Arabidopsis thaliana: one gene and its partners. The protein of the gene in region 3 purifies or fractionates together with the protein of the main gene of each other region. This does not show direct contact. Each region holds a gene or a part of one and is shown on either strand. Other genes may lie near its edges.

Region 1 (5,882 bases), on a different chromosome or scaffold from region 3:
CACAGATTTGTCAAAATTTTCAAATGGATACCAAGAAACAGATGCCCGACCCGAATCACAAACCCGGTTACCGGAATCCGGTCATTAGCACGGTGTTTAAGCCGTGGAGCTAAGAGATTGTGCGGTGGAAGCAAGAAGAATCCGGGTCAGAATCAGATCCGGTTGGGTAAGGATCCGAAAAAGTCGAACCGGGTTGTTCCTCGAGGACATTTGGTGGTTCATGTCGGCGAATCAGACGATGACACGCGGCGAGTTGTGGTGCCGGTGATTTACTTTAATCATCCATTGTTTGGAGAATTGTTGGAGCAAGCGGAGCGGGTTCATGGGTTTGATCAACCGGGTCGGATCACTATTCCTTGTCGGGTTTCGGATTTTGAAAAAGTCCAGTTGAGGATCGCTGCATGGGATCATTGCCGCAGGAAAAATTCTTACAAGATTATATAATTTGAATTTATAAAATAGTCAAAAATCAAAAGAGGATTAAAAAAATTTATATACACTTATACAGTACAGAGAAGGATGATTTCCTTTAATTTGTGAATATTAGTTTTTTTTACCATCTATGTTATACGATAAATACCGATTCATAAATACAAGATAATTATTTGTATCAGTTTATTTCATGGATGATAGACCACATTGACATCCTATAATACTATATGGTTTAGATTTATGTGTGTAATTTTATAAGTTAGAACAAAACTGAAATTATGTTCTAACTTATAAAATTACACACATAAAAACTGAAATTAAAAAAAAAAAACAGAAAAAACTGAAATTGGGCTATCAGTATTTTTGAATACTTATATTTCAATATATCAAATACAGTGAGTGATGGTGTATTGCTGTATCTGAAACCTATCATCCACTATAAACCCCAATTGAAGTGAAACAATCAATATTTAGAATTTCCATATAATGTTAATTATGAAATTACTTCTATCTAAATATATTTCAGAAGAATTTTTGAGATACCACTTTTATGATTTTTATTTTTTTTTAATAATACCACTGTTTTTTTTTTTTGTTAATTTTCAATGTAACACAAAATGCAATCATAGAATTTGTTTTATTAACTTTTATAGAGCATATTATAAAAACGTTTATAAAGTTTCTATAATGCATAATATCAAACATTTATAAGATTTTTCACAAAATTTTTAATGTTTTATAGTGCTTAGAAGATTTTTCTTAAGAAATGATATGAAACTAGAATTTTTGAACAACCTTTTTCTGGTCTTTTTGAAAAATGGTATCATAAAGGTGGTAATTTTCAAAATTTCCCAAATTTGAATACAAATTCAAATCATATTGTAGGAAAGTGATCAAATATGTTAAAATTTAGAAGATGAGGTGAGAACAAATGTGCAGAGGAGATGCACTTGCTAAATTTGCATCTTCATGTGATTTGTATTTTGCTTTTTAGATTGTAGTTTACCACTTTGGTTGGTTACAAGTATTTGGAGAAACCATGTACTACTTGTTCTTTGAGTATTAATATATATGATTATATGTGGTATGTTTAGAAAAAAACAAAAAAACCAAATATCAAACCTAAACTTATTAAAAGTAAAGACACATTTGATTAAAACCTAAACCAAAAACGTACAAAACTATTCGCTTATGATGATATTATTTATCATAACCAAAACTTTAATCACCATACATACCTCCGATTTGGTTTTCTCTCCCAAACTGGTCGTCTTCTCACCTCTGGTTTACTACTACTTCGGATTGAAGAATTTTGATCGTCTCGTTGCTAACTCCACGATGTCTTTCTGACGCTTAATCTTCTGACAGAAGACAAAGACATAGCATAAAAAAGTAAGCACAGAACATAAACGGATGTTTATTCTTTTCTAGACGGTATATTTACATAAATAACGAATCACTTATCAAAAAGCTGGAGTAGCTCAGTTGGTTAGAGCGTGTGGCTGTTAACCACAAGGTCAGAGGTTCGACCCCTTTCTCTAGCGTTTCTTTTCCTTTTGTATTTTTAAGATTTAAAAACATTTTTCCACGGCTACAAAAGAACATTCTCGACATACACAAAAAAATTCGAAATTTCGAGAACTCTCTTGTGCCTTCTTCTTCATCTTCCTCTGTTTTTAAAAATGCAATCAAGCAGATTCTCACGATACCTAAACCAAATCCAATTCAATGGCGGAAGAAGCAAAATCCAAAGGAAACGCAGCTTTCTCTTCCGGCGATTACGCCACCGCAATAACCCATTTCACAGAAGCAATCAACCTTTCACCAACCAATCACATCCTCTACTCAAACAGATCCGCTTCTTACGCTTCTCTCCACCGTTACGAAGAAGCTTTATCAGACGCGAAGAAGACTATAGAGCTTAAACCTGATTGGTCTAAAGGATATAGCCGATTAGGTGCTGCGTTTATTGGATTGTCCAAGTTTGATGAAGCGGTTGATTCGTATAAGAAAGGATTAGAGATTGATCCGAGTAATGAGATGCTTAAATCGGGATTAGCTGATGCTTCGAGATCTAGGGTTTCGTCAAAGTCGAATCCTTTTGTTGATGCGTTTCAAGGGAAGGAGATGTGGGAGAAGTTGACGGCGGATCCGGGGACTAGGGTTTATTTGGAGCAGGATGATTTTGTTAAGACGATGAAGGAGATTCAGAGGAACCCTAATAATCTTAATTTGTATATGAAGGATAAGAGAGTTATGAAGGCTTTAGGGGTTTTGTTGAATGTGAAGTTTGGTGGATCTAGTGGTGAAGATACTGAGATGAAGGAGGCTGATGAGAGGAAAGAGCCTGAACCGGAGATGGAACCTATGGAGTTGACGGAGGAGGAGAGGCAGAAGAAGGAGAGAAAGGAGAAGGCTTTGAAGGAGAAAGGGGAAGGAAATGTTGCTTATAAGAAGAAGGATTTTGGGAGAGCTGTTGAACATTATACTAAGGCCATGGAGCTCGATGATGAGGATATTTCGTATTTGACGAATCGTGCTGCTGTTTATCTTGAGATGGGGAAGGTATTAAGTCTTATACTTGGCTTAAAAGTTAAACCTTTAGGTACTTTAAGATTAAGGAGGAGATCTTGGGTTCTTGAAGTAGCTTATCTGTTTAGTATAGCTTGTCACTAGTTAGTACATTTGTGATGACCTTGATGGGTTTTGATAACTTTCATCTGCTTCTTGTTGGAGATTTAAGAGTTTTGAACTTAAGTTTTCACTTGTGCTGAAAGTAGTTAGCTTTAGATGAGGTAGAAATTTAGGGTTTATGGCTTCATGATGGAGTTTATTCACTTGTTCTGTAGAAGTGGTTATCTTTATTATTACTGGAATCAATTAATCTTCAAGTATCCTGAGTGGTTCAATTCCATTGGTCTATGTGTTCTTGCATTAGTCTTGTTTAATTAACAGTTGGTTCATCTGGATCTTACTGTATCTTGTGTGATGTTTTACTTCATTTCTCAAATGAAATTATCAGTACGAGGAGTGCATTGAAGACTGTGACAAGGCTGTTGAAAGAGGCAGAGAACTTCGTTCTGACTTCAAGATGATAGCAAGAGCTCTGACTAGAAAAGGATCTGCTCTAGTGAAAATGGCGAGATGCTCGAAAGACTTTGAGCCTGCGATTGAGACTTTCCAGAAAGCTCTTACAGAGCATCGTAATCCAGATACATTGAAGAAACTGAACGATGCTGAGAAAGTCAAGAAAGAGCTGGAGCAACAGGAGTACTTTGATCCTACGATAGCCGAGGAGGAGCGAGAGAAAGGTATATATACTGATCCTCAGTTACACTTACTATCTTGAAACGTGATTTGATTTTAGGATTAAGCATTTGACACTTCTTCATTGATGCAGGTAATGGATTCTTTAAAGAACAAAAGTATCCAGAGGCAGTGAAGCATTATTCAGAAGCAATCAAAAGAAACCCGAACGACGTGAGGGCATATAGCAACAGAGCTGCTTGTTACACAAAGTTAGGAGCATTACCAGAGGGATTGAAAGATGCTGAAAAATGCATTGAGCTGGACCCAAGTTTCACGAAAGGATACAGTAGAAAAGGAGCTATTCAATTTTTCATGAAGGAATACGATAAAGCTATGGAAACGTATCAAGAAGGGCTAAAACATGATCCTAAGAACCAGGAGTTCCTTGATGGTGTTAGAAGGTTTGCAAATTTTGGCATTCTCTCTTTGTTGTTTAACCTTGCAAAGATCGGTCTAGTGAAAGTGTTGTTGTTTTCAGATGTGTGGAACAGATAAACAAAGCGAGCCGTGGTGATCTGACTCCAGAAGAATTGAAGGAGAGACAAGCAAAGGCAATGCAAGATCCTGAAGTTCAGAACATATTATCGGATCCAGTGATGAGACAGGTAAAAGCAGTGGCAAGCATTGTGTTCTAACTCGTAAGCTGTCTGTGAGACTTGTGTGATGATGTCTATTGTAGGTACTAGTGGACTTTCAAGAGAATCCGAAAGCTGCACAAGAGCATATGAAGAACCCAATGGTAATGAACAAGATTCAGAAGCTGGTTAGTGCCGGAATTGTTCAGGTCCGGTAAATTGGTTATGCTAAACCGGAGTGGTATATTGAATCAAACCGAAGATGTTTCCAAATTTTCACTGCGTTCTTTTGGGCTTTTGTTAAACTGATGAAACTCTGATTTGGTTTGGGTCATGTTTGAGGAGTTGTTGTAGAATGAATCAAGTCTGTGTTCTCCTAGTTTTATATGCTACTTCTTCGAATTTTCTCAAAAGAATCTTCAAACGAAATTTATAATTGCTGTCAAAAAATTTTAAAAAAAACTATAATTCTTTTTTGGTCGAAAATTATAATTTAAAAGTCAAAAGCTGTAAAATCTTTTTTGTTTTCTACATGTCTCTTTTACAGAGGAATAAAAGTCTTTTTAGACGGGCCTCACGTGCATTGCACACGTTATGGTGACTAAGAAATTGTGCAATAATCAGATTGTGTTGAATTTTCTCTTCCACTTTTCTTTAATACAAAATATAGTTTAAAAAAATATATATATAGATTTTTCTCTAGTGGAACGGTTTGTGGAAAGTATTTTAAGATTTAGATCTTAAGATTTTGTTTGCCCAAAAAACAAAAACAAAAAGATCTTAAGATTTTAAAATCTATGAAAGTTTAGGAGTTTTAATTTTAGAATTTAAGTTTCAGAATCTAAGATATGTAATTTTCCTTTGCTAACTGAAAAAACATAAGTAATAATTTCTGAATTTTGATTTAGAACATAAAACTATTTCCCATAACTTTTTATTTTGTTAATTAACGATTATTTTCAAAATTATGACATGTTCCTAATAAATACTATTCGGTTAATCGGTTCACTACACAAATCACAAATTCGTAAGGGGAGGTGTACCGATGGTTAACCAAATTACAGAGTACTTTTTTTTTTTCTTGCAATAGAATTTGCATAGATTTTTCATAAACATTCCATGCAAAAGGGTTAATAGATGTTAAATAGTAATTTAAGAGGATATAATTCATATATACTTGCATGTTTTGTTCATGTGGCAAACAGCCTAAAAATATTTGTATTTCCATAATTGTACCTAATTTGCTTCCATGATCACTCTTCACCGTTACTTCTTGGACTTGTCTTTCCCAAAAGCTAACAATCCGAAGGTTTATTTAAATTAAATCAAAAGAGCACTTAGTGTTTAACTTTAGACTAGTGATAAGATTTTCACACCTGCTCCCAAACTACCAAAGTAAATGGAGCTTATGTGGAAAGAATGTCATCATAAGATTATTCAAATAGTAAAGTGACTAGCTCTTGGTCTAATGGTTTCCGTGAAAAGGAACAAAAACACTAAAGGGTATGCAGAAAGTAGGAGATTTGTCCAACTTAGAGGTTATAATTTGTATGCTTAGAAAAAGTG
Region 2 (5,092 bases), on a different chromosome or scaffold from region 3:
TTTAGTGGAAGAATTAAACTAATATGATGTTTTTCTTTGTAACGTATTTACTATTTTCATGTAATTTAATAAAGAGGGTACGAAATGTAGGTGTACATTTGTTTGGGCTGTATATATTTCTATTGACATTAAATACGCCAAATTAGAAAAGAAAATCTTTAGTTGGAAGCATCTATTATATGTACCTCTTTCGGAATGTAAAATCACGTTTAATATTTCTGAACTGGTAATCAATCTCATCTCCTAAAATTTAATACATATCATCATTGTCAAACAATCGGAGTAGCGACGAGAACTATCATTGTTTTTCTCTTGTGATATTGCCGGCCAAATATTATTACCTCAATCATTTTGAAGCGAGTAAACATAGTTTTTTTCCCCCTTTTTTTTGTTCTTGTACACCAACAGAAAGCTGCATCACATCTGCGAATCATCACGTGCCATTCAAGTGATTACTGGAACGTGACATGAACGAATCTTCACATTGAGTGTTCCAACTCTCCTTTGTACGAAACTCCAAACAAGTAGATATATATTCAATTATTATGGATGTTGGAACAATCAAATTAACTCTTGTCCTTCTTATCGTAGAGACATGAAATTAACCCAATTCTGTAAATGAGTAGTAAGTAATCTATATATATATAGTTGACAACAGATAACACTATAATATATGCGTCCTTATAATGTTAATGTAATTATCATGGTTTGAGTTAACGTATAGAAGCATTGAAACTTAGTTGCAGACCGAAAATGATATACGATCTTAAGAGTTAAGAATCTTGAACTCGGCAAATTTTATGAAAAAAAAACAATTTCAACCATTTCTAACTAGTGATTAGATGACCAATAGCAAGCATGCACCAACGACTTCATTTTTATAAACATCATAGGGACCTAGACATATGCATTTTGTGGGCAACGGCCTACGCATTAAATTTGTGTTTCGAAGATTAAATTTATGAACAGAAGGCAACTTGCAAATTTGCTATGTACAAAAAACACAAAGGAAAAGTTTGTAAATAGAGACAATAAGGGAGAAATAAAAAGATCGCTTTCTCATAAGTCCGACTTGGTTCCACGGTATCTAGAATGCCCACGTGATGTCATGTACTTTTCCTTCTTCTCTATTCTAATATGTTGTTTAACAAAAAGAAAATTGATTGATAAAAAAAATTGAAAAATTTCATAGTGATATCTAAAGTTTAAACAAATTATCTCTAAGAAAATTGTTAGTATGCCTTGGAATATAATTTCTCAACACACAAACTGAAGAAATTGCTTTTAAAACTGAAATTTATATGGTAATGGCATACTAATAAACAGCTAAACTTTTGTAGTTTTATGTGTGTGTATTAAGAGATTTTTCAAAGTGAATGCACCTTAAGGTCATGTTTTGTGAGGTTTGATGTTGGAGAGAGTCTTTGATCCGCTGAAGAATTGGCCAGGTATCAAAATCATTTCTTAATTTATATATAAAATTTCAACTTTAAAAAAGAAACGTTCAATCTGAGTCTCTTAAAATAACAATGTGAATGTTAACACTTTGTAGATATCAGACTATCATAGATAAGATTGCTACTTAAAACATTGAAATGTTTTGATGATTCGTTAAGCCTAGCAATATATCATGTCGTTATTGGGCTTGTTTACTTACCCAGTTACCCGTATTCCAGTTATAAGCCCATTAATCAGCCTCGTACAGTTCTATTGTTGGTCAGATTATTAATTTTTAAAATAAGGGCGTATTTTCCGAAACTAAAGAAAGTATAGGGTCTTCTTCTTTTCTCTAATTAGGAAAAAGACTTTTTCAATTGTCTTGTCCGTGAAATTATGTGGAGAGCTAAACCATTCATAGCCCGACATGTAACCCAGCCACGTAATTAGACCACTCGATCACCGTTCGTATTAATGTGATTAAATCAACGATTGATATCACGCCACGTCATTGTTTTTCTTTTTTCCTTTGTATCTTCTGTTCTAAGGGAAGAAATAATAACGAGAGAAGAACGTTTTAATAAACAGAGAGCAGAGCACTTGTTCTAAAGATCAAAGCTTAAGTGAGAAGCAGAAAAAAAAATGGCGAAATCTCAGATCTGGTTTGGTTTTGCGTTACTCGCGTTGCTTCTGGTTTCAGCCGTAGCTGACGATGTGGTTGTTTTGACTGACGATAGCTTCGAAAAGGAAGTTGGTAAAGATAAAGGAGCTCTCGTCGAGTTTTACGCTCCCTGGTATGGTTCAATTCTCTCAATTCGGATGCGATCCTTTTTGATCTGTAAATCTTCTGGTCGAGAAATGTTTTGATCTGTGATTGCAGTCTTCTGGATTAATAAGCATGATTTCGATTTATATGTTTTACTGAGAAATTAGAGCTTACTGATGTGTGCTGTTGAATCTGACTAATTGCATTTATGGAATTGGACATGGTTTTAATAATAGGTGTGGTCACTGCAAGAAACTTGCTCCAGAGTATGAAAAGCTAGGGGCAAGCTTCAAGAAGGCTAAGTCTGTGTTGATTGCAAAGGTTAGTGTGATTCTATTTCGGTATTCAGCTCCAATGTTTAAAAGATAGATGAATGATAGATTGTTTCAACTTGTGTATTGTGGTGAAGGTTGATTGTGATGAGCAAAAGAGTGTCTGTACTAAATATGGTGTTAGTGGATACCCAACCATTCAGTGGTTTCCTAAAGGATCTCTTGAACCTCAAAAGTATGCTTTTTACTGTTTATTCTCTCTAAGCAGATTACTTATTTGGTGGATGTCTTTTGTTTATAGATAGTGAATGATTTTGTTTGTTTTTTCTGTTCATCTTATTGAATAGGTATGAGGGTCCACGCAATGCTGAAGCTTTGGCTGAATACGTGAACAAGGAAGGAGGTATGATAGTAGCTAAGCTTGTATCATTTCGGATTATAGATATTTACTTTTGTGGGAAACTTGTTTTAGCTTGGTTTATGACTAAAATTTAGTTGGCGACATGTACCATCATTTGTCACTTTAGGATATATGCTCGCCATTTGTTTCTCCCACTTGTTGTCTTTATAATTCTTCTTCGATAAATTTTGTTCCGACATACCTCCCTATGTTGCAAACAACTGACGTATTGAACAAATATGTTTCAGGCACCAACGTAAAATTAGCTGCAGTTCCACAAAACGTGGTTGTTTTGACACCTGACAATTTCGATGAGATTGTTCTGGATCAAAACAAAGATGTCCTAGTCGAATTTTATGCACCATGGTAACCATACTTGTTATCTCTCTCCTCACCGTCATGGTTTTGCTTTCATGCTGCTATCTTCTAATATCAATTTTCCATCTTCCAGGTGTGGCCACTGCAAATCACTCGCTCCCGTAAGCTCAACTATCTGTTTACTCTTATTATAGATATATAGTCATCTATGCTTCATAACTAATGCTTTTTTCTTTGTATTATCAGACATACGAAAAGGTAGCCACAGTGTTTAAACAGGAAGAAGGTGTAGTCATCGCCAATTTGGATGCTGATGCACACAAAGCCCTTGGCGAGAAGTAAGTTGGACAGGCATTTTATTAATACCGATTTTACTGTTTAAAGTCATTTATGTTTCATAAAACCAAAACATAAAGACAAGTACCTTATATTCAGATATGGAGTGAGTGGATTCCCAACATTGAAATTCTTCCCAAAGGACAACAAAGCTGGTCACGATTATGACGGTGGCAGGGATTTAGATGACTTTGTAAGCTTCATCAACGAGAAATCTGGGACCAGCAGGGACAGTAAAGGGCAGCTTACTTCAAAGGTTCGGTAAAAACATGTCTTCTGCAGAATCACCATTTCCCACTAAAAATTGAAAACTTATGTTGATTCTATCACACTCTCAATAGGCTGGTATAGTCGAAAGCTTAGATGCTTTGGTAAAAGAGTTAGTTGCAGCTAGTGAAGATGAGAAGAAGGCAGTGTTGTCTCGCATAGAAGAGGAAGCAAGTACCCTTAAGGGCTCCACCACGAGGTATGTTAGTAGTAACTCTTAATCGATACATGGAGTGTGAGTGTTGAAAGTTGCCTCTTTAATTATTGGGCTTTCATGATGTCTCTATAGGTATGGAAAGCTTTACTTGAAACTCGCAAAGAGCTACATAGAAAAAGGTTCAGACTATGCTAGCAAAGAAACGGAGAGGCTTGGACGGGTGCTTGGGAAGTCGATAAGTCCAGTGAAAGCTGATGAACTCACTCTCAAGAGAAATATCCTAACCACGTTCGTTGCTTCTTCTTAAAAGTCATATAGCTTGAAGCTAAGAGAATAGGAGTCGAGAGAGTTTATAACTGATACTGTTTTGAGATTTTATGTTTGTCAAGATCAAGAACGTCTGTGGTTATTTCTGGTTAGTTCTGAAACTCTTTTGAACCCAAGTTTATCTGTCTCTGGTGAACAAGCGACCACGATAATCATAAACTTCATTCGCGTTAAAAAAAAAGGTTCAGTAATGGGCCAGGCTCGTATTCATTATTAATGGGCTAGGCTCGTGTTCATAAAAAGTCTGTAATGGGTCATTGAGGTATACAAAGGACATCCAATAAATAAAACATTTGTCTCATTTTTAAAAGTACATATCATCTCCGTTACTGTTTCGTCTATGAAAAAAGTAACACGGAAGCAATGTGATATACTACTAGGCAATAGCTAATCAAATAAGTAAATTAAGTAGGACTACAAAGAAAACATAACCAAAACAAAAAAAGTCTCTCAATGGTTTTTAATCCGGACATGCACCGAGACTGCTGTTTCTAACTCAGAAGTCAGAAACGATGGACAATCTGACAGCATTTGTTTTTAATCCATCGGAATCCATTCTTCAAAGTCGATTTAACTTTACCTTCAACTGTATAAGCTTTATACCTCGCGATTCTCTTCTTCCTCTTCATCTCCGCATCGCTTAAACCTCCGATTCGCAAAGACGACGACGCGTTGCTCCTTCCCGCCGCTACTTTTCCCGGCGGAGGCGGCAGTGACGGAGGATAATCCCGAGTCCCGTAGATCTGATTTCTCTTACCACTCACGATTTCCTTCCTCCGATCAACGCCGTAAGTTCTCTGACCCGACCCGTA
Region 3 (5,867 bases):
TCAAAGAAGTAAATAACCAATTAACACACACAATACCACAGGAGAAGCTTGAGATCTTCAAATCAATGGAAAATTGGGCAGAACAAAAACTACTACCTTATCTCAAACCGGTAGAAGATTCATGGCAACCACAAGACTTCTTACCTGCGCCAGAGAACGACGACGAATTCTACGACCGAGTAAAAGAGATCAGAGAAAGAACAAAAGAGATACCTGACGATTACTTTGTAGTTCTTGTGGGAGATATGATCACAGAAGAAGCACTTCCAACGTATCAAACGACGTTAAACACACTAGACGGTGTTAAGGATGAAACCGGTGGGAGTTTATCGCCGTGGGCTGTGTGGATTAGAGCCTGGACGGCGGAGGAAAACCGTCACGGTGACTTACTCAACAAGTATCTTTATCTAACTGGTCGTGTTGATATGCGACATGTTGAGAAGACTATACAATATCTTATTGGTTCTGGTATGGTAAGTATTTCACATTTATCGTTACTATTGATTTGGTTACATTATTAATATTTTTTTTGGCAACGTTACGTTTTAGGATTCGAAATTTGAGAACAATCCATACAATGGATTCATCTACACATCATTCCAAGAGCGAGCAACATTCATCTCTCACGGCAACACGGCTAGGCTAGCCACAACATACGGCGATGTTACCCTCGCGAAGATCTGCGGCACAATCGCTGCCGACGAGAAGCGACACGAGACGGCGTACACGAAGATAGTGGAGAAGCTATTCGAGATCGACCCTGACGGATCTGTTCAGGCGTTAGCGAGTATGATGAAGAAACGGATCACAATGCCGGCTCATCTTATGCACGACGGAAGAGATAACGATTTGTTTGATCATTACGCCGCCGTGGCGCAGCGGATTGGAGTTTACACGGCGGCGGATTACGCTGGGATACTTGAGTTTCTGTTGCGGCGGTGGAAGGTGGAGAGTTTGGGATTGGGGTTATCAGGAGAAGGAAGGAGAGCACAGGAGTACTTGTGCACCTTGCCGCAGAGGATCAAGAGGTTAGAGGAAAGAGCTAATGATAGGGTCAAACTTGTGTCAAAACCTTCTGTTTCGTTTAGCTGGGTTTTTGGTAGAGATGTGAAACTATAGATAGATATTTAAAATAACAAACAAACAAAAAAAAACCAAACAAATATAAATAAATAAATTATGTTTGTGATCAGGTTGCAAGTTGTCACTTGTGAATGTGAGTAACCAAACTATATAGTATATTTTAATAATTTTATATGGACATCTCACAAGTTTTCATTTATTCACCACTATATCCATCTTTTATTAACTTTATAATGTTTTGATCAGTCTTGAAACAACAATGAGGATAATTATAACAATGTTGATCTTCTGTCTATCCCAGTCGAGCCAGTTTGATCGGCTTCACGATTGTTAAACCATATCTCGTGTGAACAACTTGAACACCGGTAAAACGATTGATTCAATGATGGATATCATGATTCATTGTGTAATGTCTTTCGACAATTGAATAAATCCACTACTAGTTGAGAGTCTCTTTTGAAGATGACACATCTATTAATAACCCATATTGTTTGCAAAGCATGGAGCTAGGAGCATGGTCACAACTATTAAGAGATTGTAGTTGCATGCAGCCGTGATGACATAAAGACTTGGAGAAATTCGTGTCATAAGAAGAGTTTATTGTTATGAGTTATGACGACAATTCAGTGACACATGAATTGTTTTGTACCGTCATACTAAAAGATCTTTGTCGCGTAATATGATTTTGCTTTGACAGCATGATTACAATACGACAAGCATTTTTTGCGTTTCAAGCTGCAGCGGCCCATGGGCCTCTTTAACAAATAACGACAGAAGTAGACAAAACAGGTAAAGAAAATGGCAGTGATGTAATAAAAAAAACCTAGAAGGGACATTTAAGAGACTTTCAAACAGAGTCGTTTATGCAATAAATGCACACACACTTGCTGAAATAATCACGTTCCAGAGAGTTTTCTGAAATTGATCGTTTTGGTTCTTCACCTTTCCTTTTCTTTGCTTTCTGCTTCCTCCCTTAAATACATTTCACTCTGTTATCATCGATTTTTTTTTCTTATATCTCAATCTTATTTTGTTTGTCTTTTCTCCATTTTTGTTTCGTTAAGAAGAAACAATGGTTATGGCTATGGATCGGATCGCTTTGTTCTCTTCCTCATCATCTGTTTATCATCACGGTTCTTCTCATTCTCATGGCTCCAAATCTTCCAGAGTTTTCACTATTCGTTCCGACTCTACGTGAGTTTCTCTCTTCATTTCCAGAAATTCTGTTTATTTTTCTGTTTCCCCAAAATTTTCCTGATTTTGAGGTTTCGTTCTTTCTGGGGTTTAAGTTTGTTCAGCGATGATCATTATTAACATTGGCTTTTTATATGCAATCTCCTGCTTCTATCAAATTTGTATTTAAATGCAGATTTATTTCGTTCTGTGATTACTAATCTAAAGCATTGGCTTTTGATCATACGCTTGTGTGTGCTCTGTTCTTACGTATTGCTTAAAATGATCATTATATTTATAGTTAGTTACTTTTATTTAAAGCATTATAGTTACTTTTATCATATATATCTTCTCAGTTTGTTTTCTGCTGAAGCTATGGACATGTCACATGTTTGCGATCACATGTTTGACATCGCAAAACTCTTAATTTTTGCATTTAAAAAAAAAATCTGATAGGGAAATTGCAATCTTTGTCTTTCTTGTACAATTCAGTATTTGTAATCACTAGTTTATGGAGTATATGCATGCATGGATTGTTCCCTTTTTTTGACTAAACTATTATTTAATTTGGTTGTTGGCCTATCAGGCTACAATGTTCCATCAATGCTTTCTTAATTGATTGCTAGTGTAAGTCTTTTTAAAATCAAATCACATTCCACATAAATTGGTTAAGGCTTTTTAATATTGTCTTGACTTTTTGTAGATTGCGTTTACTCTATGTTTATGCATATGCACACATCTATGTATGTGTTTATATGCACTGTAGTTGGTCAAGTTAGGTCTGAAATGTTTTTGCTTGTTGTTTTGGTGATACTGTTTTGGTCAGAAGAAATTTTGATTTAGAGCATGCTTTGTCTTGTAGTACTGCAAGTGCCTTCACTGTTGTTATATCATCTATGATGAACACTGAATCACACATTAGCTTGTCTTTTTCTTTTAAGAAACTGATTATTCTCGTGTTGGGATATCTCCTTTTTGGAGGTGTCTTAAAGACTATAACTTGTTTGCAGTTGGTTACCTGAATAACACGAAACCCTATCATCTAATTCTGGTGGCTGTGTTAAATGTTAATTATAACAGTATTTTCAGTCTCTCAAGTTTCTTATTCTATTGATCATTTTGGAATCTTCTTTAATGGAAAAATTGCAGAGCGGTTGGAAGGAAACTGTATATTCCTCCTCGAGAGGTTCATCTTCAAGTGAAGTATTCAATGCCACCACAAAAGCTGGAGATTTTCAAGTCCTTAGAAGGATGGGCTAATGACAACTTGTTGGCTTACTTAAAACCTGTTGAGAAATCATGGCAACCAACTGATTTTCTCCCTGAACCTGAGTCAGAAGGATTCTATGACCAAGTTAAGGAGTTAAGAGAAAGGTGTAAGGAGCTCTCTGATGACTACCTTATAGTGCTTGTTGGTGATATGATCACAGAGGAAGCACTTCCGACTTATCAGACCATGATTAATACATTGGACGGGGTTAGAGATGAGACGGGAGCAAGTCCAACTCCTTGGGCAGTATGGACTAGGGCATGGACTGCGGAAGAGAATAGACATGGTGATCTTCTTAACAAGTACCTTTATCTGTCTGGACGAGTAGACATGAGACAGATTGAAAAAACTATTCAATACCTCATTGGTTCTGGAATGGTAAGCTCCTTTAGTATAATAATATGGCTAGCTTTTCTTATAAAGGCTAAACCTACAAGTCTCTTTTTTTGGTCGTATTGATTGTGTTTTGTTTTGTAGGATCCAAAAACTGAAAACAATCCTTACTTGGGATTCATATATACTTCTTTTCAAGAAAGAGCTACATTCATCTCCCATGGAAACACTGCTAGACTGGCAAAGGATCTTGGAGACTTGACACTTGGGAAGATTTGTGGCACCATTGCTGCTGATGAGAGGCGCCATGAACACGCCTACACCAAGATTGTAGAGAAGCTCTTTGAAATTGATCCTGATACCACAGTCGTGGGCTTTGCTGACATGATGAGGAAAAAGATCTCGATGCCTGCTCATTTGATGTATGATGGTCGTGATGATAATCTATTTGATCACTTCTCGTCCGTGGCCCAGAGGCTTGGTGTCTACACTGCCAAGGACTATGCTGATATACTGCAACATCTTGTGGAAAGGTGGAATGTGGAGAAGTTGTCAGACCTTTCTAGTGAAGGAAACAGGGCCCAGGTAACAACATTAGAACCATGAAACCGTTTTTGTTTTCTTGTTTTTGACTTGACATGAAACATCCAACTTCTATTAAGTTTGTTTACTTTGTTAAAAAACCTCACCTTGCATTAAGGAACTTACAGAACCTATCATATCTATAATTGCATTGTAACTTCTCCTGTGCACTTGGAGATTCATCAAATTGGAATCTGAGTTCTTTACACTCTACTCTGACTTTTCGCTTTGTTTTAATGGCTTCGAACAGGACTACCTCTGTGGATTACCTGCTAGAATCCGCAAACTTGAAGAGAGGGCTCAAGGGAGAACCAAAGAAGCAGCAAAAAACATACCATTCAGCTGGATTTTTGGTCGAGAAGTCAGGGCTTAAAAGAAGTAATGTTAAGCAATTAATTCTTCCATATTATAATCCCAAGCAAGCTATAAAAGATCTTCACCAACACCTTGATGAAGAAGCCAGAAGTATGTTATGTTGGAAACGTGTGTAGATAAAGTATGTGTTAGACTTTGCTTTGTTTGGATCACTTAAATGACTTACTCCAAAGAATTTGCTTTGTTTTGACGATTTTATTTATTTATTTCTGCACCTCTATTTGTTGCTAGTATTGAATCCACTTCTGTAATGTTTTCTCTTCTTCTGAATCCAATAAGATATTTAAAAAGTAAAATTTTGTGTTTCGTTCTCTCTACTTTCAAATTTGTTTCTTTTGTGGTTAACAGTAATTACCTCACTTTCTTCATAAACTGGTTGATTTTGTAAAAGTTCAATTTTTATGCATCAAGTTCCTATGTTTGTGTATCCGCTTAAGGAAACGAAGTGACAAATTATAAGAAAAGACTTTATATATGTAACAGATCATTGACGAATTACATCAAACACTCAAAAAACAAATGAACAAATCACAATAATACCCACCGAAACAGAACCATAAAACCAACATTTGATATTGATCTAACTCAACAGTTCTCACCACAAAACAAAAGGACACAAACTTTAAACTTGGAACGGCCATGGCCAGTCCTTCGGATTCTCCTCACTCTGAACCTTACCAGTTCTCTTCATCGCAACGCCATCACCACCATCGACATAAGCATAGTACTTCAAGAAGAAAGCACACACAAGAACGATCCAATCAAGACAAAAGATCACAATACAAAGACCACCACCGAGTTTCAAAATCACAGCAGCATCTTCCTCACGCACATACGACTTAAGACTCCCGAGGAATTTAGACGTGTTGGTGAAGATGAGAACAGAGACAGAGCCTTGGAATATAGCAGTGAGCACAGTTGCAACCATGTGAGCGGCGTACCAACGGTTTCTTCCGCAAGATGCAGCAGCGCAGCCTGAGACTGCGGCGGCGATTGTGGTGGCGTGGAGGAGGATGAGGAGGAATCCGCAGATGGAAGGGATTAGACGGAG

What was found. The genes of interacting proteins can lie anywhere in the genome.
Region 1: the proteins of AT5G16240 (region 3) and Hop3 fractionate together in Arabidopsis thaliana (co-fractionation; one large-scale study listed by BioGRID). This does not show direct contact.
Region 2: the proteins of AT5G16240 (region 3) and UNE5 fractionate together in Arabidopsis thaliana (co-fractionation; one large-scale study listed by BioGRID). This does not show direct contact.

Annotation. Positions count from the first base shown.
Region 1 is NC_003075.7:7,337,518-7,343,399, reverse strand, and holds Hop3 (stress-inducible protein), read left to right. Parts: upstream 1-2,038; 5' UTR 2,039-2,160; coding exon 2,161-2,997; intron 2,998-3,454; coding exon 3,455-3,743; intron 3,744-3,832; coding exon 3,833-4,142; intron 4,143-4,219; coding exon 4,220-4,346; coding exon of another isoform or gene 4,347-4,376; exon of another isoform or gene 4,377-4,420; coding exon 4,421-4,534; 3' UTR 4,535-5,382; downstream 5,383-5,882. Other genes in the region: AT4G12410 (SAUR-like auxin-responsive protein family), read left to right, coding at 1-444. UniProt on the Arabidopsis thaliana protein: Mediates the association of the molecular chaperones HSP70 and HSP90. Mediates nuclear encoded chloroplast preproteins binding to HSP90 prior to chloroplastic sorting. Involved in acclimation to heat.
Region 2 is NC_003071.7:19,479,424-19,484,515, forward strand, and holds UNE5 (thioredoxin family protein), read left to right. Parts: upstream 1-1,830; 5' UTR 1,831-2,079; coding exon 2,080-2,231; intron 2,232-2,439; coding exon 2,440-2,524; intron 2,525-2,612; coding exon 2,613-2,710; intron 2,711-2,822; coding exon 2,823-2,878; intron 2,879-3,123; coding exon 3,124-3,241; intron 3,242-3,326; coding exon 3,327-3,354; intron 3,355-3,439; coding exon 3,440-3,531; intron 3,532-3,628; coding exon 3,629-3,785; coding exon of another isoform or gene 3,786-3,790; intron 3,791-3,870; coding exon 3,871-3,995; coding exon of another isoform or gene 3,996-4,003; intron 4,004-4,085; coding exon 4,086-4,260; 3' UTR 4,261-4,592; downstream 4,593-5,092. Other genes in the region: AT2G47480 (DUF3511 domain protein, putative (DUF3511)), read right to left, coding at 4,784-5,092.
Region 3 is NC_003076.8:5,304,826-5,310,692, forward strand, and holds AT5G16240 (Plant stearoyl-acyl-carrier-protein desaturase family protein), read left to right. Parts: upstream 1-1,914; 5' UTR 1,915-2,155; coding exon 2,156-2,277; intron 2,278-3,405; coding exon 3,406-3,904; intron 3,905-4,003; coding exon 4,004-4,444; intron 4,445-4,691; coding exon 4,692-4,814; 3' UTR 4,815-5,136; downstream 5,137-5,867. Other genes in the region: AT5G16230 (Plant stearoyl-acyl-carrier-protein desaturase family protein), read left to right, coding at 1-473, 550-1,119; AT5G16250 (uncharacterized protein), read right to left, coding at 5,439-5,867. UniProt on the Arabidopsis thaliana protein: Converts stearoyl-ACP to oleoyl-ACP by introduction of a cis double bond between carbons 9 and 10 of the acyl chain.